Linked DNA regions of Arabidopsis thaliana. The protein of the gene in region 1 purifies or fractionates together with the protein of each later gene. This does not show direct contact. Each region holds a gene or a part of one and is shown in the gene's direction. Other genes may lie near its edges. The genes, in order: AT1G33600, AT1G78820, AT1G78830 and scpl35.

Region 1 (6,202 bases):
CGCAAACATTCTACTATGATTTCATCGATCTGTCGGAAAACGAGATCACAGGGAGTCCAGCAAGGTTCTTGAACCAAACAGAGTATCTAGTGGAGTTCAAGGCAGCGGGTAACAAACTACGATTCGATATGGGGAAGCTAACGTTTGCAAAGACGCTGACAACTTTAGATATATCAAGGAACTTGGTATTTGGGAAGGTGCCGGCAATGGTGGCTGGACTAAAGACATTGAACGTGAGTCACAACCATCTTTGTGGAAAGCTTCCAGTAACAAAGTTCCCGGCCAGTGCGTTTGTGGGTAATGACTGTCTTTGCGGCTCTCCTCTTTCTCCTTGTAAAGCTTAAGCGGCAAGAAAGCTACAACTGGTAGTTGGATATTTACCGTGACCAATAAAGTTTAGCTCCAAATAAAATTTGTATTAAAAAGATTACAACAAATAAAGTAGTTTTATGTTATGAAGAAGCTTCATTCTAACAATATGTATTAGTGAAAGTACTCAAAGTAGTATTTAAGTTCTCAACTATTATGCATTTTTTATATAGCAGCTAAAATATTACTTTAACATGATAGAAAAATGATTTTAAAAAATAGAAGGAAAAACAGAGTAGTATTCTGATACAACATGCTCCAATTTATGTAACTTTTGCTTATATATTAAACTGATTATGTAGTATGCAACTCTTGGCTAATCTGTTCTCAATTCAGAATAGTCGCAACAAATGATGCAGTAAATAATCTATGTTTACTGGAATTTAACTCGCTCTATACAAAAAAAGAAAGAAAGTTATAGTGATATCTTATTTAGAACTATGCGTAATTTATTATTCTTCAGTGTTCTATAATTGGTTAACAAAAACCTAGTGATGAAAACAAGAGGAGTCCTTACTAGATAGATGCATATAACTTCATCACTACAAAATTTATTTGATCACAAATAACACATACCAAACAACAAACCAAGTAATCGATATATACTAGTATCAAACCTCTTTTTTCTCTTTACATACACATAACACAAGGTCATCCACAGGACATATAGCGTCTGCATTGAGGAATTAGACCATCTCTGAAGTAGGTTTCAACTTAGTATTGTTTTTTTTTTTGTCTAAAACACTAAAGTTCGATTAGACTAATGCATCCATATTCAATGAGACAAAGACATAGTAAACCAACCTAGAAAAATTATTCAAAAACTATACAAAAAAAGATAGTTTGAGTAATTGGTTCTTCCAAAACAAGACTAATGCATGCAGCATCTTAAAACTTCACCACCATAAACGAAAATTGAGTAATTGGTTCTTCCAAAACAAGCTAAGATTCCACTATAATTTCTTACGATAAACAAATAGATAAAGCTACTTATGTTAATGTTGGATTACGCTAAGAAAATTAAGGCATGAATCTATCGGCCCATCTCGAGGCCAACTTAGTCCACAATCTGGATCATTGTACTTAGATATATTTGACTTTTATTTTGTGGTCAATAATGTACATATTGTTAGACAAAAATAACATGTTAATAAATATTTTTTTTTTTTCAAAAATAACGTACATTTTGAGAAAACATAAATGAAATTTCTTTCCAAACTAAGTTTCATAATAGCCCAAAATATTATTTAAACATGATAGAAAACAATTGTAATTTGACAACAAAGTTCTAGAAAAATAAGATACATAAATCCTTTATCTATAATCATCAAAATATTATAAAAATCTGATGAAAGAAACTGTCTCTTTCGAGGGGTTGAGAGATAATAAATTCGACAACGATTACGGATATTACCACAACTTATTGCCACCACATGAACATGAATTGGTCAAAATCGGCAGCTCTTGATTCAACGTTTTCCTTCTATTAATAGCGACCAATTGTGTCTTTCAATCAACACAACTCAACCATGAACTCTTGTTGCTTCCCTCTCTTCATCTTTGCATTCGTTATCTTTCTCCGGTGTTTAAGTCCCATTGAAGCTGCCACGTGTCATCCTGATGACGAGGCGGGTCTTTTAGCTTTTAAATCGGGTATAACTCAAGATCCTACGGGTATTCTCAGCTCTTGGAAGAAAGGTACTGACTGCTGTTCATGGAAGGGTGTCGGTTGTCTCACCAACCGCGTCACCGGACTCACTATCAACGGACAATCTGATGTTACTGGAAGCTTTCTTTCTGGCACTATCTCGCCGTCATTGGCCAAACTCCAACACCTTGTTGGTATTTACTTCACCAATCTTCGAAACATCACTGGTTCTTTTCCTCAATTCCTTTTCCAATTACCAAATGTAAAACAAGTCTACTTCACGAATAGCCGTCTCTCCGGTCCTCTTCCAGCTAACATTGGTGCGCTAAGCGAGTTAGGAGAACTAAGTCTCGACGGAAACCTGTTTACTGGTCCGATCCCGAGTTCCATTTCCAATTTAACCCGGTTATATCTGCTCAATCTTGGAGATAATCTCTTAACCGGAACTATACCTTTAGGTCTTGCTAATCTCAAGATCTTGTTGTCACTCAACTTTGGCAACAATCGTCTCTCTGAAACCATACCGGATATTTTCAAATCCATGCAGAAGCTCCAATCTCTAACCCTCTCCCGCAACAAATTCTCTGGAAATCTTCCTCCGTCCATTGCATCACTCAAACCAATTCTCAATTACCTCGATCTAAGCCAGAATAATCTCTCTGGGACAATCCCGACCTTTTTATCAAACTTCAAGGTACTAGACTCATTGGATCTTTCTAGAAATAGGTTCTCTGGGGTTGTTCCGAAGAGTTTAGCCAATATGCCTAAACTTTTCCATCTCAATCTCTCCCACAATTTTCTAACTGGTCCACTCCCTGCCATGAAGAACGTTGATGGCCTTGCCACTCTAGATCTTTCATACAACCAATTTCACCTCAAAACGATACCGAAATGGGTGACCTCGTCGCCGTCCATGTACTCGTTGAAGCTGGTAAAATGCGGGATCAATATGAGCTTAGACAATTGGAAGCCAGTGAGACCCAATATTTACTTTTACATCGATCTGTCAGAAAACGAGATCTCAGGGAGTCTAACATGGTTCTTCAACCTAGCGCATAACCTATATGAGTTTCAAGCGTCAGGGAACAAACTTCGATTCGACATGGGGAAGCTGAATTTAAGTGAGAGACTAGAAAGCCTCGATCTATCAAGGAATTTGATATTTGGGAAGGTACCAATGACCGTGGCTAAACTGCAAAAATTGAACTTGAGTCATAACCATCTTTGTGGAAAGCTTCCAGTGACTAAATTCCCGGCCAGCGCGTTTGTCGGTAATGACTGTCTCTGCGGCTCTCCGCTTTCTCCTTGTAAAATTTAGCGGCAAAAAGGTACAATTTTGTAGTTGAGTACTGTAACACATAGCTCTGAATAAGATTTGTAATAACAAAATTAGCCTACTCGGCTACGCCATACATGGACATGATTTTTATTTTTTTTACTGGAATAGAAAATAACAAAATATTTAAGGGGAAAATCACATTTTAAACCTAACACTGAGCAGCACTTTAAACCTCAAGATATTTTCACTAGCATTATAAACCTCCAAATTAATTAAACTAACACTCTAGATCTCCAAATTAACATTTTTTGTTTGTACAGCCCTAAAAGATAACAGAACAGAACACTAACTAACAGAACATTAACAGAAGTTACAGAATAATGAACTTTTGTCAGTTAAAAGAAAAAGTAAAACATGTTTAGAAAAAATAATATTATGACCACTTACCATAATTTGTGATTTTTTTGTTTAAAAAAAACCTTATAATATTTAAGAAATTTGATAATACAGTACATAGCCATGTAAATATAAATCATGTTGATGTTTTAACAAATTATTGATCGGTTATTCTCAATTTCCAACATTAATTTGATTACTTTGTGGGCAGTCTAATCATTGGTGAGCTAAATATCTAAAATCTAGACAGACAAAATAATATCACATATAAACCAATAGTTTGATACATTCACTCTCGGTACCTACCCTACATCCAAGAAGTAATGAAGATCTTGGGAATAAATGTTCCATTAGAATCATGAAACTGGTGACTTTGTAGACAAGAAAACTAGAGTTATTTGTGTAATAATATGAAATATTAAAACTGTAGACACACTGAGATTTGCCTTATTATTCAAAGCTATAAAAACAAATGGATCTCGATGAACGCTACGGCATTCATAAGAGAGGTAGCATGCATCTTAAATGTCACTACCATAAACTGAAAACTGAACAAATCGATTTTCGAGAACAATCTAAATTTTCACTTTCTTAGTTCTTACAATAGGCAAATAGATAAAGCTACTAATGTTAGATTATGCTAAGAAAATAAAGCATAATGTTTACCTGACCATCTTGAGGCCAACTTATTTTCACTGTCTAGATCATTGCACTTAGATCGTTCTAAATCTAAACAGTCAAATCTTTCACTTCTAATTTAAGGTCAATAACGAACATTTTGTTGGACAGATTAAAATAACGTGTTGAAAAAAGTAAGACGAAAATAACGTACATAACTAGATTATAACCCGCGGTACACCGCGGAGACAATTTGTTTTTAAAATTAGTATATATAAGAGTCTGCAAATTATATTTATCTATAAAATATTTACATTTTATAGTTTACAATTGTTATTAAGTAATATCCTTCCAAACTCGTTCCACCAAACCCGTCCCGTTAAAAAAATCTGCGATACACCGCTAATTTAAATAAATATTTTACGGGATTGCAATTATATTTTAGTTTGTCAAACAAATTTTTTTTTTAAATGGTTGTCGAAATCTAGTTCAAATATTGGAGAAATAAGATTTAGTGAACTGATAGGAAATGTATTTAGGTGCGTTTTGCTCATTTTAAGGGATTGCAATTGTATTTTGGTTTGTCAAATATTTTTTGTTTTAAATAGTTTCCGAAATCTAGTTTAAATTTTGGAGAAATTTGCGTGATATATGGGATTATAATATATTTGGAATATTTTTTGTTTGTTAATCAATTTATTGCCAAAAGAAAACCAATAATTAAAAGGCAATGGCAGGTATTGTAAATAAGTTCGAACTCCAGGATTTATTTCACAAAATGGCTGCAAAAATGTATATATAGATGTTAGAGAAAAATCAAAATGGTTATTTTTCCTAACTAAATTCCATAATAAAAATAAAATTTTATTTAAATTTGATAGAAAGAAATACTAATAAGACAGTGGAAAAAAACTATATGACTTATGAGTTTTAATACAATGTAACAACAAAATTCTAGAAAAAGAAGATATGTTAAACCATTTATATAATAATCTGATGAAAGACACTGTCTCTTTCAAGGGATCCAGAGATGCTAAACTCAACAACGATCACGGATTATACCACCACGTAATGCCACCACATGCATATGACTTGGTCAAAATCGTCAGCGCTAGAGTCGATGACTTTCCTTCTATTAATAGCTACCACGAATGCTTCTCTCAATCAACAAAAACACACCATTAACTTAAGACATCAAGAAGCTCCACTACATGTAACAACGATAATCAATACGTATTATTGTATTAGTGAAAGTAGTATTTCAACCCTCCGACATTGTTTTCCATATACGCGAAATGTTACTACTAAAGTGAACGGCGAGGACTTCGGAAAAGATACTCGTATTTCCGTTTATGTATTTAACTTTTACAAAATTAACAGAAATTATCCAAATTTTCTACTTTTTTTTAAATACCCAAACTTTACAAAATACACATAACAGTTAGTCAAATTAATGAGTATAAGAATTAAATTTACTTACCTGGATTTTCTGATCCCGCGTGACCAGAATTTCTTGAACCGGTCCCTCGATCCAAAAATCCCGTCTGATTTTATCGGATATAATTAGTCAAGTCAGTCCATCGTCTGGATTAAGTCTGGACATAATAAGTGAACCGAAAGAATTGAACTGGAACCGAAGAAAAAAGAACCAAACTGAACTCAGACCAATTGTAAAATATTCAAATAGGTCCAAAATTCTAGAACCGAAAAAGATTATAATCAAACCCGAACCAAACCAAAATATTTTGGATACTCAAAAATATCCAATTATATATCCAAAATATTAGTTATTTTTAGATCGAATAACCAAACATATACAAAATACCAAAATATACTTGGAAAATATATTTACAAATATCAAAATATTTGAAAATACTAGAAAATATCTTAAA
Region 2 (3,953 bases), about 17 Mb from region 1:
TGCGGCGATTACGGTTACTGCGATCGTGGGATGTGCAACGCGTGTCCTACACCAAAAGGATTACTCGGATGGAGTGATAAATGCGCACCACCTAAAACGACGCAGTTTTGCAGCGGAGTCAAGGGTAAAACTGTCAATTATTATAAGATAGTCGGTGTTGAGCATTTTACTGGGCCTTATGTTAATGATGGACAAGGCCCAACTTCTGTGAACGATTGCAAGGCCAAGTGCGATCGTGATTGCAAGTGTTTGGGTTACTTCTACAAAGAGAAAGACAAGAAATGTTTGCTTGCTCCTCTGCTTGGTACACTTATCAAAGATGCCAACACTTCTTCTGTTGCTTACATCAAATATTAGTGTTTTTTTGGGAAAGTTATTTACCGAATTCTTTTTGAATTCTTAGAGATTTAATGAATAATCGGTGTGCTTGTAATGATCCACCGTTGAATATATTGTATTACCTTAAAAAAAAGCCATCAGATGTATTTACTATATATATATAGTACCTTTGAGAATCAAAATACCATGTGAAGCATTATCATTATTTTGTTGCCTCTGACAAGAGTTTTGTAGTCCACTGGTCCTCCACTTGGAATACCGCTCACTTGGTTCTTAATTCAATTGACTACTGAGGTTTGTAGATGGTCGTTGGGACTCATACTGTCAAAAGAACAGCAAAAATTTTGTCACTTCTCCAACTCATTGGGCCTTTAGGCTTTGTCATAGCCCAATAATTCTATCTTAATCGGACAAACCGTGTGGTCCACTTCCCTTCGTACATATTTTTTACAAGTTTTGTGGTCTTACTTTTTACTTTTTAGCATTACATGGGATAAAAAGTGAAAGCTTGCCCAGCAGCTATGCATCCATCAACCATCAAAATCTGACTCACAGTACTGTTTTGGATGTCTGAACTTACATAAAAGATTCGATCATCACAAGATGATTATTGTGAGTTTTAATTTTTTTACTGTTAAAGCTGGCGGAGATGTTTTTATATCTGTTAGCATTATCTCGGAAATTTGTATATATATATACGACAGTCTAGTGGCGGGTCAGATAAAGGTGGAATGTGTAGTCTAGACTTTAGAATATATAAAATTACTTTATGAAGTATATTTACATACAAGACGGTAAAATCGAGAAATTTATATAGCTAGTTTGGGAAGTGTGGGTACTTAGTTATCCAAATATTCACTAATTTGAGTAGAGATCAAAATGGTGATCGGGTAGATTGCAATCTTGAAAGGATTTTTAGATATATTTTTACAGTTTAAAGTATTTAAACGAGTACATTCTATATTTAAAAACAAGTGTTTAAAGTATGAATCCGATTGGAGAATCTAAATTTTCTTTTGTCAAAAACGATGGTCAACTTTGTCTGAACAATTTTCATGAGATTAGTTATACAAAATTTGTGTAATAAAAACGGATTAACAACAATATATATAATTAGTGTTTTACTCACAACTTTTGTATATACGATAATTTTCGAAAATTCTCAGTAGACATATCTTATCCAAATCATAAATGAGCCATTGGTTGATCTGTATAACGAAGACACGATTTGCAGCTTAGGACCATTCAAAAAAAAAAAAAAAAAAAACTTAGGACTTTCAAACGAATACAGCCCAACGACCCAAAGTTAAGATCTTATATATACACCTAAAGGATATAGAAAATCATCTCACTCTACTACTCAATCTCAGTAAACATAAAGAACACAACCATGCTTAGGTTTGATTACTTACTAATCACGGCACTTGCCATTTCAACTGTTTCGGTTGTCATGGCCCAAGTCCCTCCCGAGAAACAATTCAGAGTGCTCAACGAACCCGGCTACGCCCCATACATCACCGAGTACGACGCGAGTTACCGATTCCTCAACTCACCGAATCAGAATTTCTTCACAATTCCTTTCCAGCTCATGTTTTACAATACAACTCCTAGCGCCTACGTGTTAGCTCTCCGAGTCGGAACGAGGCGTGACATGAGTTTCACGCGTTGGATCTGGGACGCCAATCGCAACAACCCCGTCGGAGACAACTCCACACTCTCATTCGGCCGAAACGGAAACCTTGTGCTCGCTGAGTTAAACGGCCAAGTCAAGTGGCAGACTAACACAGCCAACAAAGGCGTCACCGGATTCCAAATCTTGCCCAATGGAAACATGGTGCTACACGACAAACATGGAAAATTCGTTTGGCAGAGTTTCGATCATCCCACCGATACACTCCTCGTCGGCCAATCCCTAAAAGTTAACGGAGTTAACAAACTCGTTAGCCGTACATCTGATATGAACGGCTCCGATGGTCCGTACAGCATGGTGTTGGACAACAAAGGCTTAACCATGTACGTTAACAAAACCGGTACGCCGTTAGTTTACGGGGGATGGACGGATCACGACTTCCGCGGTACCGTCACGTTCGCCGTTACAAGAGAGTTCGATAATTTAACGGAGCCGTCAGCTTACGAGCTTCTCTTAGAACCCGCACCACAACCCGCTACGAACCCGGGTAATAACCGCCGGTTACTCCAAGTTAGACCAATCGGAAGCGGAGGAGGAACTTTAAACTTAAACAAAATCAACTACAATGGAACGATATCGTATCTGAGACTTGGATCCGACGGTAGCCTCAAGGCCTTCTCGTATTTCCCTGCCGCGACGTATCTCGAATGGGAAGAGACTTTCGCTTTCTTCTCCAATTACTTCGTCCGTCAATGCGGTTTGCCGACGTTTTGCGGCGATTACGGTTACTGCGATCGAGGAATGTGCGTCGGGTGCCCTACACCGAAAGGTCTGTTAGCTTGGAGTGATAAATGCGCTCCACCTAAAACGACGCAGTTTTGCAGCGGAGGCAAGGGTAAAGCTGTCAATTATTACAAGATAGTCGGTGTTGAGCATTTTACTGGGCCGTATGTTAATGATGGACAAGGCCCAACTTCTGTGAACGATTGCAAGGCTAAGTGCGATCGTGATTGCAAGTGTTTGGGTTACTTCTACAAGGAGAAGGACAAGAAATGTTTGCTTGCTCCTCTTCTTGGTACACTTATCAAAGATGCCAACACTTCTTCCGTTGCTTACATCAAATATTAGCGAGATTTATAAACCGAAACCAACGTGAATTCTCATAGATTTAATGAATAATTGGTGTTGTTATAATGCTTCACCGTTTTTGTTTTCGTAGACTCGCGTATTATGCTCAGTCCTAGTCAAGTATGATATTATCAAAATAAAAATGGATGATATTGATGTTCTTCAGATTATCAAAATTGAAATTAATAGTCGATCATTATAATGCGTCCTTTATACAATATTCAATTAATGCTTTTGTTTTGTATAAATAACAATGAGACAACTCGATATTGTTGCACATTTCATAATTTTCTGTTGGTTAATGATTATGCCGTGGGACCATTTTTTCTATGCATACGACTGATTACTGAGATTTTTCTTTTCTTGGTTGAATGAGTATCTGCAGGAAAATTAAAAACTCAAATTTATAAAAAATTAGGAAGAATCATATCCTAGGAGAGTAGGTAGGTAATTGTTGTTTTAAATATAAACAAAGGGAATACTTCTTTTAACCACAAAAGTTATGCTATCATTTTAGAAAGAAAAAACTATTCAACCAACCCTTGAATAATGGATATTCACCTAGTTTATTAGAAATTTTCTAGTAACGATTGGTCAGTGCCTCAGTGGCAGCCAAAAAGGAATATCCTTAATCTTATTTAATTTTGACAACAAATATTTAATACACTCCAATAACATTAGAATTCTGTAGATGACAAAACTTTAAATAAGTAAATGCAAGCGTCCATCGCGGATCTTTGGGATTGGGACCTCCATAGATTTATTTGTCTGGTTCTATTTGAGAGAATCATATTTACAAAATTTAAGGTCCATTGGGCTTTATTTATGGGCCTATTAATTATCGATTTATCCACAT
Region 3 (4,306 bases), about 17 Mb from region 1:
CAGGTTTCTAGATTTGGATAAGAAATCACTCATATACCAATTGAAGTTGGAATTTGACGGCAGGAAGTATGAGACTGAAGGATCCCTTTTCAACAAGTGGGTCGACTCAGTGGTTACCCGTGGAGTTCAGCATCTTGTGGTTGTTGCTAAAATATTTGGTTCTTGCATAAGAACAATTATTGTCCCATAAAACTTCCGGGAAGCATTTCTATGTGTGAAACATTGGTACACTTGAAGCTGGTCGAGGTAGGCATTGATAGTTTTGACTCCGTTTCTCTACCTCGTCTTGAGACTATGCATTTACTATCGGTTTGGTTTTCGAGCGAAGCGGCTCTAGAGAGGCTTATCTCATCCTCCCCAGTTCTTCAAGTTTTGTACATTGAAAAAGTTTGGAATGTGGAAGTTATACGAGTGCGGTCTCAGACACTATATAGCTTGAGAATGCGTATTTGGAAAAGAGATTTAGATTGGAACAAAGATTTAACAAAAATTGGGCTAGTGATTGATGCTCCTAGGCTTAAGTCTCTGAATCTTCAAATCCACCGGTTTAAAGACCTTGTGCTGAATAGTGTATGTTCTCCGCTCAAAGTGGATATTAGTATCTCTAAAGGAGAGTTTAATCCTATTAACTCATTGACGATGAAAACATTGCGTACATTTATTGCTTGGATATCAAATGTCACAAATCTTGCACTCAATTACTGTTGTCTAGAGGTATGTATATTTTTGTAACTATTCATCCTGAATTAATCTGTCTCGAAAACTTATTACTAATTTATTCTTCTTGGTTTTTGCTAGGCTATGTATGCTTACTCTAGCTCGGAACCATTGCCTCAGTTCTCTAACTTAACCCATTTGGAAGTTTCGATGGACTCCTCTTGTTTAAAGTTGTTACCAACGTTTCTCGCAAGCTGTCCAAACCTAAAATCTCTAGAGTTGGTAATTTTATTTTTATAAGTAACTCTTGAATTACTTAACTAAACTATACATTCTCATTACGTTTTTCGTTTCTTGTCCTTGATATTATGTAGTGGGTTCACGATCATCGTCTAGATATATTGGATATCTCAAGATCAACTATGCCTAAGTGTCTGCTAATATCGCTCAAGTTTGTTACGATATACAGCACAGCTATGATATCCAGCTCGGTTGAGAATCAGGTCGAAACCGAGCTTGTCAAATACATCCTGGGGAATGCAGCAGTTGTCAAGGAGCTTACTCTTCGATTCATTTTATGGGCAGAAGAACACAGGTTTCAACTTAGCAAGCAAATCCTTGCGTTTCCAAAGCTTTCTTCTGCTTGTCAAGTCTTTCTTCATTCGTCGTTTTTTTGAACTTGTTGTGAGGATCAAGCACAAGTGTAAACGTTATGCTTCTTAGGTGTTTTTAGTTTCCACACTTGTTCCGGTTAGACATCGTAATTTTTAAAAATTTTAAGATTTATGTGATTGGTAAATTCAAGATGCCGCAATATTATTGATATCGTAGATATCTTTGTCAGCCATTATTTGTTTGGGTTTCGTTTGGTGCACATGTAAAGAATAAGATACATGGATCTCTGCTACCCATAGATACGTGTACTTAAACTTTTAAATGAAAAAGCCAAATCTTGGCCCCTCGCAGTGGCATCTAAGAAAAATCCACAACTACATTTTTTCTTCAAAACTTAACTAAACTCACAGCTTCAAGTCTATTTTACCAAGACGGTGCTGTGATATTTTACCAATCCTCATTATCCTCTCATAGGCAGAAAATCCGGTTTCAAGTCTTCTAGAAAATGATAGTATTAAGATAAATGCATAAAAGGATTAATCATTTTCTTTCGACAAGAAAATAAATTATATGATATTCAGAAAGCAAAATAGTTATGACGAATATTCGATAATCTGCACTAGACAAACCTTATCCAAATCATAAGTCGCCATCGGCTCCATTGTACAGCACCAATTTGCTTGATCTCTTCTTCTTTAATTAGTCAAGTCGCAATTAGCAACTTTGACTTTTCAAACGAATACGGCCAATATTACAAAGCTAAACAACTTATATATACCACAACACAAGATACATCTTCTACATAATCATCTCACTCCTTTACTCACACAAGAAAACAAAATCATGTCTCGATTTGCTATCTTAGTAACCTTGGCACTTGCCATTGCCACTGTTTCGGTGGTTATAGCTCAAGTCCCTCCGGAGAAACAATTCAGAGTCGTCAACGAAGGAGAATTCGGTGAATACATCACTGAGTACGACGCAAGTTACAGATTCATCGAATCATCAAACCAGAGCTTCTTCACATCACCATTCCAGCTCTTGTTTTACAACACTACCCCTAGCGCCTACATCTTAGCTCTCCGAGTCGGACTCAGGCGTGACGAGTCTACCATGCGTTGGATATGGGACGCGAATCGCAACAACCCCGTCGGAGAAAACGCTACACTCTCACTCGGCCGTAACGGCAACCTCGTCCTCGCTGAAGCTGACGGACGAGTCAAATGGCAGACTAACACAGCTAACAAAGGCGTCACCGGATTCCAAATCTTACCCAACGGAAACATCGTCCTACACGACAAAAACGGCAAATTCGTATGGCAGAGTTTCGATCACCCCACCGATACACTCCTCACCGGCCAATCGTTAAAAGTTAACGGAGTCAACAAACTCGTTAGCCGTACATCTGATTCGAACGGCTCAGATGGTCCGTACAGCATGGTGCTGGACAAAAAAGGTTTAACCATGTACGTTAACAAAACCGGTACGCCGTTAGTTTACGGCGGATGGCCGGATCACGATTTCCGCGGCACCGTCACTTTCGCCGTTACAAGAGAATTCGATAATTTAACGGAGCCGTCAGCTTACGAGCTTCTCTTAGAACCCGCACCACAACCCGCTACGAACCCGGGTAATAACCGCCGGTTACTCCAAGTCAGACCAATCGGAAGCGGAGGAGGAACTTTAAATCTGAACAAAATCAATTACAACGGAACGATTTCGTATCTAAGACTCGGATCTGACGGGAGTCTCAAGGCTTACTCGTATTTCCCAGCAGCTACGTATCTCAAATGGGAAGAGAGTTTCTCATTCTTCTCCACTTACTTCGTCCGTCAATGTGGCTTGCCGTCGTTTTGCGGCGATTACGGTTACTGCGATCGTGGGATGTGCAACGCGTGTCCTACACCAAAAGGATTACTCGGATGGAGTGATAAATGCGCACCACCTAAAACGACGCAGTTTTGCAGCGGAGTCAAGGGTAAAACTGTCAATTATTATAAGATAGTCGGTGTTGAGCATTTTACTGGGCCTTATGTTAATGATGGACAAGGCCCAACTTCTGTGAACGATTGCAAGGCCAAGTGCGATCGTGATTGCAAGTGTTTGGGTTACTTCTACAAAGAGAAAGACAAGAAATGTTTGCTTGCTCCTCTGCTTGGTACACTTATCAAAGATGCCAACACTTCTTCTGTTGCTTACATCAAATATTAGTGTTTTTTTGGGAAAGTTATTTACCGAATTCTTTTTGAATTCTTAGAGATTTAATGAATAATCGGTGTGCTTGTAATGATCCACCGTTGAATATATTGTATTACCTTAAAAAAAAGCCATCAGATGTATTTACTATATATATATAGTACCTTTGAGAATCAAAATACCATGTGAAGCATTATCATTATTTTGTTGCCTCTGACAAGAGTTTTGTAGTCCACTGGTCCTCCACTTGGAATACCGCTCACTTGGTTCTTAATTCAATTGACTACTGAGGTTTGTAGATGGTCGTTGGGACTCATACTGTCAAAAGAACAGCAAAAATTTTGTCACTTCTCCAACTCATTGGGCCTTTAGGCTTTGTCATAGCCCAATAATTCTATCTTAATCGGACAAACCGTGTGGTCCACTTCCCTTCGTACATATTTTTTACAAGTTTTGTGGTCTTACTTTTTACTTTTTAGCATTACATGGGATAAAAAGTGAAAGCTTGCCCAGCAGCTATGCATCCATCAACCATCAAAATCTGACTCACAGTACTGTTTTGGATGTCTGAACTTACATAAAAGATTCGATCATCACAAGATGATTATTGTGAGTTTTAATTTTTTTACTGTTAAAGCTGGCGGAGATGTTTTTATATCTGTTAGCATTATCTCGGAAATTTGTATATATATATACGACAGTCTAGTGGCGGGTCAGATAAAGGTGGAATGTGTAGTCTAGACTTTAGAATATATAAAATTACTTTATGAAGTATATTTACATACAAGACGGTAAAATCGAGAAATTTATATAGCTAGTTTGGGAAGTGTGGGTACTT
Region 4 (6,697 bases), on another chromosome or scaffold:
AATGGAATTCGACACTTGCTGCTTTCCTTTGTCGTTGCCACGTTCCGTCATCGGTGTTGAAAATCCCGTCTCCGAGTAGATCTTGCATGGTCTCACGGAAGTAAGAACCCTTTGGGTAGATAGAGAAACGGGTCTTGAGAAGATGCTCAACGTTTCTTGGGTCGCAGGTAACAACGCAGTTGAGGGTGCTAAACCAAGGACCTCTAAACCGGAATGTCCCGTTTTGGCTGATAAGAACATCAGACAGCCATTCGTATATGTTGCTTCGTACCGCGGATATCAACGAAGGAAGCATGCCAACCAACGGCCAAACGGGCATCCCTTGGTGTTTCTTCTGGCGCAAGGAATGTATTGTCGCAAACACGAAAAAGGCAATAAAGAGCTCAAGAATCTGAACATCTCTCAGGGAAAACAGCCTCCTTGAAACCAGAAGTTCGTCGCTTCCGAAACAAGAAGAGGACACGGCAGTAGCCGTGAGATTATAAGAAGAAAAACTAAGATTCATAGTGACAAAGAAGGAACAAAGAAACAGAGTGTGTATAATTTTTTTGCAGAGAGAAAGAGAAAGAGAGATAAGAAATAATGAAGTTGTTAGTTAATTTAGTAGGTGAAGAATGTGAAATGAGGGAAGAAGGATTTAAGACGCATAAGTTTCGTGTTTGGCTCTCAATGTGAAATTGGGTTTGATTTGGTGAGCTAAAAAAAGTTCGTTGCTCTTTTCTAACGGTCTTTTAAATTTGTGTGGCTCTTTATTCTCGTGTTTTGCTATGTTTTCGTTTTGGTCTTTTGAAAGGACGAATCTTTTGGAGGGGATTAACTAGAAAATTAGGAAAATTAGAATTAGGGTTTTAGACTTGAGGATTGTTGATAAAAGAGAAATTGACAGGTGGGTAGTGACGGATCACCTAAGTTCTTGTTTATTTGTTATACACTTTATTTTATTTTGTCAAACAACTTGTTTAATTTATACGTGTGGAAATTGGAATTGGAAGAATATTAATAGTGAGTAATTCAAATAAACAGAATTTTTTTGGATACTACTGTACTATTTTAAACCTGGCGGTGAAGCCGTTGTTGTTTGAATTTAGGTTATCTGCATATATCTGGTGAATAATTGTTTTCGAACAATTTGGGCTTAGAAAACATATGGGCCTATCAATAAAGTATCGGGCCTTTGATATATATAAAATTTCATTAACCTCATTATTAATGTATTTTGGGCCTTACAGGCCCTCTGGCCTCTTCTAGGTGACTATAGCATCAATAAATGATTCTCATTAAGCCGCCAATTTCTCTGGCCTCTTCTAGGTGACTATAGCATCAATAAATTATTCCCGAGACAATTGCGAATAAACCACTTTCTTTGGAAATTATCATTGAGATCAACATAAAACATAAGCTTTGTTTATATGACAATGCTGTTGTTTTAAAGCTCTACGGTAGTACTACACATGTAATTTAATGAATTTTAATTGATTTCTAAACAGTACGAGCAATTTGTGTGTTGAATTCAACTTTGATTATATGGTTTATAAAACCTTGTTTTGGGAGATGAAATTCTGAATTAAGAAAAATAAAGAAGAAAGCATTTAATTTGCCGATGGCTCCATCTCCATAGCCATGTGGTTCAGTCTCCGATGATGACATCTCAAGCGTTGAAATTCAATTCCATCTTTCTGTAAAAGGTGAGAAAATTGGTAGTGAACCAACCATGTTATCGGAGACCGTGGAGGCACATTACAAGGAAATGATTATGAAATGTGTTTATTGTTATAACATTTTCACGTGAGTATCAAAAAAAAAATCTCATGAAAAATAAAAGACTTTTAAAGTTTTTTTTAATATAAAAAAAGACAGTATAAAGTAGAAGAAGTGGGGGCGTTTTCTCATCTGCTCTTCATTTCGATAAATAATTGAAAAGAACAAAAGAAACAAAAGAGACGAGAAAGAGTTTTGGCGATGAAGAAGAACGCACTTTGGCTACTGTGCATTCTGGTGTTACCGGCGATAGCCTGTGGTAGGAAACCGGAGAAGAAGGTAACAATTTCATCCTCTGGGAGGAAGGAAGATGACCTTGTAACCGGTTTGCCCGGCCAACCACCGGTTAACTTCAAACACTACGCCGGTTACGTGAATCTGGGGCCTGAACAGAAGCAAAAGGCACTTTTCTATTGGTTCTTCGAAGCTCAACAAAACTCTTCTCGTCGTCCTCTCGTCCTTTGGCTCAATGGAGGTCAGTTTCTCTTCCTCTCTCGCTCATTTACATAAAGTATATTTTATTTGAAGTAGTAATACAAACTTATCATTGTTCTCAATTGGAATTTTCATTCGAAACTTCATTGTTTCTGCGGTTTTACAAATATGTTTACCAATTTTAAAATGATAGCACCTTTTTTGAAACGGATGATGTGATGATTATGTTTGCAATAAAAAAATCAGTGTAATGAAAGATTAATGAACTCTCAAGCTCGTGCCTCGTGGGCCATGGTAATTAGGTTAATACATATGTCTAATCACACCATCACGTATTGACCACAAAACTCTGTGCCTGCAGGCCGTGATGTTGGGAAAATAATAGATAAAACTTGCACGAAAAAGAAAAAGAAAAAACACTAAACATAGAGAAATGTTTTCGGCAGTTGTATTTTCTTGGATACATAATTGAATTTGGACTAAAATTTTAATTATTTATATAGCTAACTCTTAGAAAACATCAAGTTGTGTACATTGTCCTACCAAACTCCATCGTCTGTCTCCTTACCCTGCCTTGTAACTTGCCAAGCAGTTCCTTTCGTTTCAGTAACAATAAAATTTTACTGTAATTGTATCGCAACGAGATAGTAAAGGGTCGTTTCGATGCAGTTGTTTTTGTTTTAAATTTTCCAAAAATTACAAGTCTATCAAATAGCCAAAACTTAAAGTAGTCTATTGTTTGTACAGTTATATATCGCTATTCTTAATAATCTGTAACTTATAGATGCCGTGTATGGCTTGATAAAAATAGCCAGAAACACCATTAAGTGATACACTGATACTATTCAACATTTTTGTTCCTTACTATTGCTTGATGGAGAAGTGATAACAAATCTGATACAGTTGGGAATGCCGACAAATTTTAATTGCCTACTTTAATAATATTTCGTTTTGTGGAACGCACTTCAACAATCTGTAGTCTGTATACGGTGGAACGAGTAGGTTCTTGCCTCTTCGGGACAAATATAGTCCAGTCCTCGTTTTCTTAACGTGAAATCTCAAAACCATAGCTTAAAACAAGTTGTATTTGAAAATGAGCTTCGATCTAATTAAGTGAACAAAAGTTATTCACAAAAATTAAAATTAACCTGTTTAAATACATCATATTTTTTCGTGAAGATTCAGTGAAATAAAACACTATACTATAACCCAACAACATATTTGGAAAAAATATCAACGAAGTCGTATATGGTCCGGCTCTCTGACAGATATTGGACTTGTATCATTCAATCAGTGTCCTTTTTGTGTAACATTCAATGTCCAAATCTTGTTTCTAGAGTGAGTAAAGATCTTTTGTCTGTTTCTTCTTTTTCTCTCGGTAGTTGTACATTCAATTTAACGAATTTACTTTATACGGTTTGTCTTTTTTCCCACACGGTTCATTCCAATATTAGGATATTTAGGGATACGAGAAATATCAACCTAGTCTTTTTTATTGGGGCTAGAAATCGGATAAGATGTTGAATATTCAATTATACACTTAGAAATAAACAAAAAGCTATGTCTAATAATAATGTGGAGTTGTGTACATGTCTAGTTTGAACAGAAAGATTGAAATTTGTTAATAATGAGGTATTACCTTTATAGGATTTGCGTGATTGAAGGGTACACACGAATCCAATGTAATCAAGAGCAATAGCAAAATCTTTAGTTATTTAATTTCTGTATACGAAAATGATATTTGAATCTTGATAGACAACTCGGGACAAAATACTGACGTCTAGCTAGCTAGTCTCATTAATTTTATTTTTTCTCGACAAATTTAGTTGTTTAGTTTTGGATTTTCTTGACAAATCTAGCGATGGAATTGAAAATAGCAATTTTCTTTAGTGAATTGTATTATTACATATTTGGTGAAACTCTTAAATTATTTTCATCAGTTTAACTAAAATCCAAAATATGCAGGACCGGGTTGCTCATCAATAGCCTATGGAGCTGCACAAGAACTAGGCCCTTTTCTTGTTCACGACAACGGTGGCAAACTTACCTACAATCATTTCTCTTGGAACAAAGGTAAAATGAATTATTACCATACTATCAGAAACATTTGAATTCTTTAGCTAACATGTATACTAATATTAACCGTGGTTACATTAAAAAAAATGTTTGTGCAGAGGCCAATATGTTGTTCTTGGAAGCGCCGGTTGGGGTTGGGTTCTCGTATACCAATAACTCAATGGATCTTCAAAAGCTTGGAGATGAAGTTACTGCATCGGACTCTCTTGCTTTCCTGATCAACTGGTTCATGAAATTCCCCGAGTTCCGATCCAGCGAGTTCTACATCTCTGGCGAGAGTTACGCCGGTAAGTGCTTTATCCGATTTTAATTCTTGATTTATGAATTATATCACCTAATATAAAAGAATTAATCTTGTATATTAATATTATATAAAACAAAGATTGAATCACATGCTTTTGATCTTCTTTTCTCAGGTCACTATGTTCCTCAGCTCGCGGAGGTAATTTACGACAGGAACAAGAAGGTTACGAAAGACTCTAGCATTAATCTCAAGGGATTCATGGTATGCACTCTATATATATGTATACTACTAGTAAGGTTACTTGCGAAACGAGGAAGCAACGTTTCTTGTGCTATAAGTAAACATAAAAGGTATTCGTTTGATGTTGCAGATAGGGAACGCGGTGATCAATGAGGCAACAGACATGGCAGGACTAGTGGACTACGCATGGAGCCACGCTATAATATCGGACGAGGTCCACACCAGCATCCATGGCTCGTGCAGTTTTGAGGAAGATACCACCAACAAGACCGAACAATGCTACAACAATTTCAAAGGGTTCATGGATGCTTACAATGATATCGATATATACAGTATCTACACTCCCGTTTGCCTCTCCTCTTTGTTGTCATCTTCTCCAAGAAAACCTAAAATCGTCGTGTCTCCTCGTCTCCTTACTTTTGACGTACGTAATCTACAATACAATATAGTATCATTGTAACATAATGTAATTACCATAATCTCTCTTCTTACTTTTTCTTACCAATTCTTCTCTTTTGATGGTTTAGGATTTGTGGGACAAGTTTCCGGCCGGGTACGATCCATGCACTGAAAGTTATGCCGAGAATTACTTTAACCGGAAAGATGTGCAGGTTGCACTCCATGCGAACGTCACCAACCTTCCTTATCCGTACTCTCCTTGCAGGTTAGTCCTCCTTACGTTACGTGGTACTAACTAAAATTAATAGCTAGCTAGAGACTTTGTATGTTAAGTTTAATGTCATGTTTCTAATGAACAAAGTATATATATATATGATCTTGTGGGTGTGATTCAGCGGAGTAATAAAGAGATGGAGTGATGCTCCATCCACCATGATTCCCATCATACAAAAGCTTTTGACGGGTGGCCTCCGTATCTGGATCTATAGGTATCTATATCTTTCTTTAACTGTTTTAAAAATTACGTGAAAAATTCATATATATTGTCAATTAGTTTAATGTTCACTGGTTCAATGTTGGCTATAGTGGAGATACGGATGGGAGAGTTCCGGTAACATCTACACGTTATAGCATAAAAAAGATGGGACTTAAGGTCGAGTCACCGTGGAGGTCATGGTTCCACAAGAGTCAAGTAGCTGGATGGGTTGAGACTTATGCCGGTGGACTAAATTTTGTCACGGTGAGAGGAGCCGGTCACCAGGTTCCGGCCTTGGCTCCGGCGCAATCTCTCACATTATTCTCTCACTTCATTTCTTCTGTCCCCTTGCCTTCAAAACGGTTCTGATATCAGTACCGTCAAGTCATGATGGCAAGTTGTTGTTGTTGTTTTGGAACCTTCGTTTAGCACTCTCCCAATTGATTTTATGAATTTCAATTGATGAATAAAGATTCTTCAACTTTTAGTTATATAATAAGGCTTTTACCTTTCTACGCACGTTTTTCGTTGTTTAATAATTTCCAGTATTTCAATTTTCAATAATCAACAAATCAGTAGTCTACTTCATTAATTTTGGAACTCAATGAAAATTTTCAAATTAATTTTAATATGAATGAAATAAATTAGGGGGAGACGGCCCTTAAGGCCCATTATAAATTTAGAGGGCCATTAAGGCCCATTAACACAAATTAAACCCAGTCATGGAGCTGAGGCAGTAGCGTTCGTTTTTTTGGAATCAATCACCGAAAGAGATCTTTCAACTGAAGCACCTGCGATTCATCTTCTTCTCTGCCCGTCGTTTCAACGTGAGGAGAAAAAAGAATGGCGTTTGCAAAAATGATGTTTCTTTTCGGAAAATTTCAGCAGGTGAATATATGAAGTTCTTATCTTCTAATCTGACTTATTTTTGAAACTTCCTCTCTGGTACGTGTTTTTTGATGTTGGGTATGAAGAAAGTTCGAGGCTTTTCAAAGGATTTAGTCTTCACTGTAATATGATTCCTGTGACTATATTTTGTAGCTTGTATAGACTTCAGAACATATGTGAGT

The links.
Region 2: the proteins of AT1G33600 (region 1) and AT1G78820 fractionate together in Arabidopsis thaliana (co-fractionation; one large-scale study listed by BioGRID). This does not show direct contact.
Region 3: the proteins of AT1G33600 (region 1) and AT1G78830 fractionate together in Arabidopsis thaliana (co-fractionation; one large-scale study listed by BioGRID). This does not show direct contact.
Region 4: the proteins of AT1G33600 (region 1) and scpl35 fractionate together in Arabidopsis thaliana (co-fractionation; one large-scale study listed by BioGRID). This does not show direct contact.

Annotation. Positions count from the first base shown.
Region 1 is NC_003070.9:12,178,878-12,185,079, forward strand, and holds AT1G33600 (Leucine-rich repeat (LRR) family protein), read left to right. Parts: upstream 1-1,898; coding exon 1,899-3,335; 3' UTR 3,336-3,345; exon of another isoform or gene 3,346-3,723; intron 3,724-5,322; exon of another isoform or gene 5,323-5,330; 3' UTR 5,331-5,651; downstream 5,652-6,202. Other genes in the region: AT1G33590 (Leucine-rich repeat (LRR) family protein), read left to right, coding at 1-344.
Region 2 is NC_003070.9:29,633,545-29,637,497, reverse strand, and holds AT1G78820 (D-mannose binding lectin protein with Apple-like carbohydrate-binding domain-containing protein), read left to right. Parts: upstream 1-1,566; 5' UTR 1,567-1,729; coding exon 1,730-3,097; 3' UTR 3,098-3,402; downstream 3,403-3,953. Other genes in the region: AT1G78830 (Curculin-like (mannose-binding) lectin family protein), read left to right, coding at 1-357.
Region 3 is NC_003070.9:29,636,318-29,640,623, reverse strand, and holds AT1G78830 (Curculin-like (mannose-binding) lectin family protein), read left to right. Parts: upstream 1-1,850; 5' UTR 1,851-2,115; coding exon 2,116-3,483; 3' UTR 3,484-3,806; downstream 3,807-4,306. Other genes in the region: AT1G78840 (F-box/RNI-like/FBD-like domains-containing protein), read left to right, coding at 1-139, 172-714, 799-939, 1,032-1,334.
Region 4 is NC_003076.8:2,655,277-2,661,973, forward strand, and holds scpl35 (serine carboxypeptidase-like 35), read left to right. Parts: upstream 1-1,777; 5' UTR 1,778-1,959; coding exon 1,960-2,233; intron 2,234-4,158; coding exon 4,159-4,266; intron 4,267-4,367; coding exon 4,368-4,556; intron 4,557-4,685; coding exon 4,686-4,774; intron 4,775-4,883; coding exon 4,884-5,177; intron 5,178-5,280; coding exon 5,281-5,417; intron 5,418-5,547; coding exon 5,548-5,640; intron 5,641-5,737; coding exon 5,738-5,996; 3' UTR 5,997-6,161; downstream 6,162-6,697. Other genes in the region: AT5G08250 (Cytochrome P450 superfamily protein), read right to left, coding at 1-505; AT5G08270 (C5orf35), read left to right, coding at 6,471-6,515. UniProt on the Arabidopsis thaliana protein: Probable carboxypeptidase.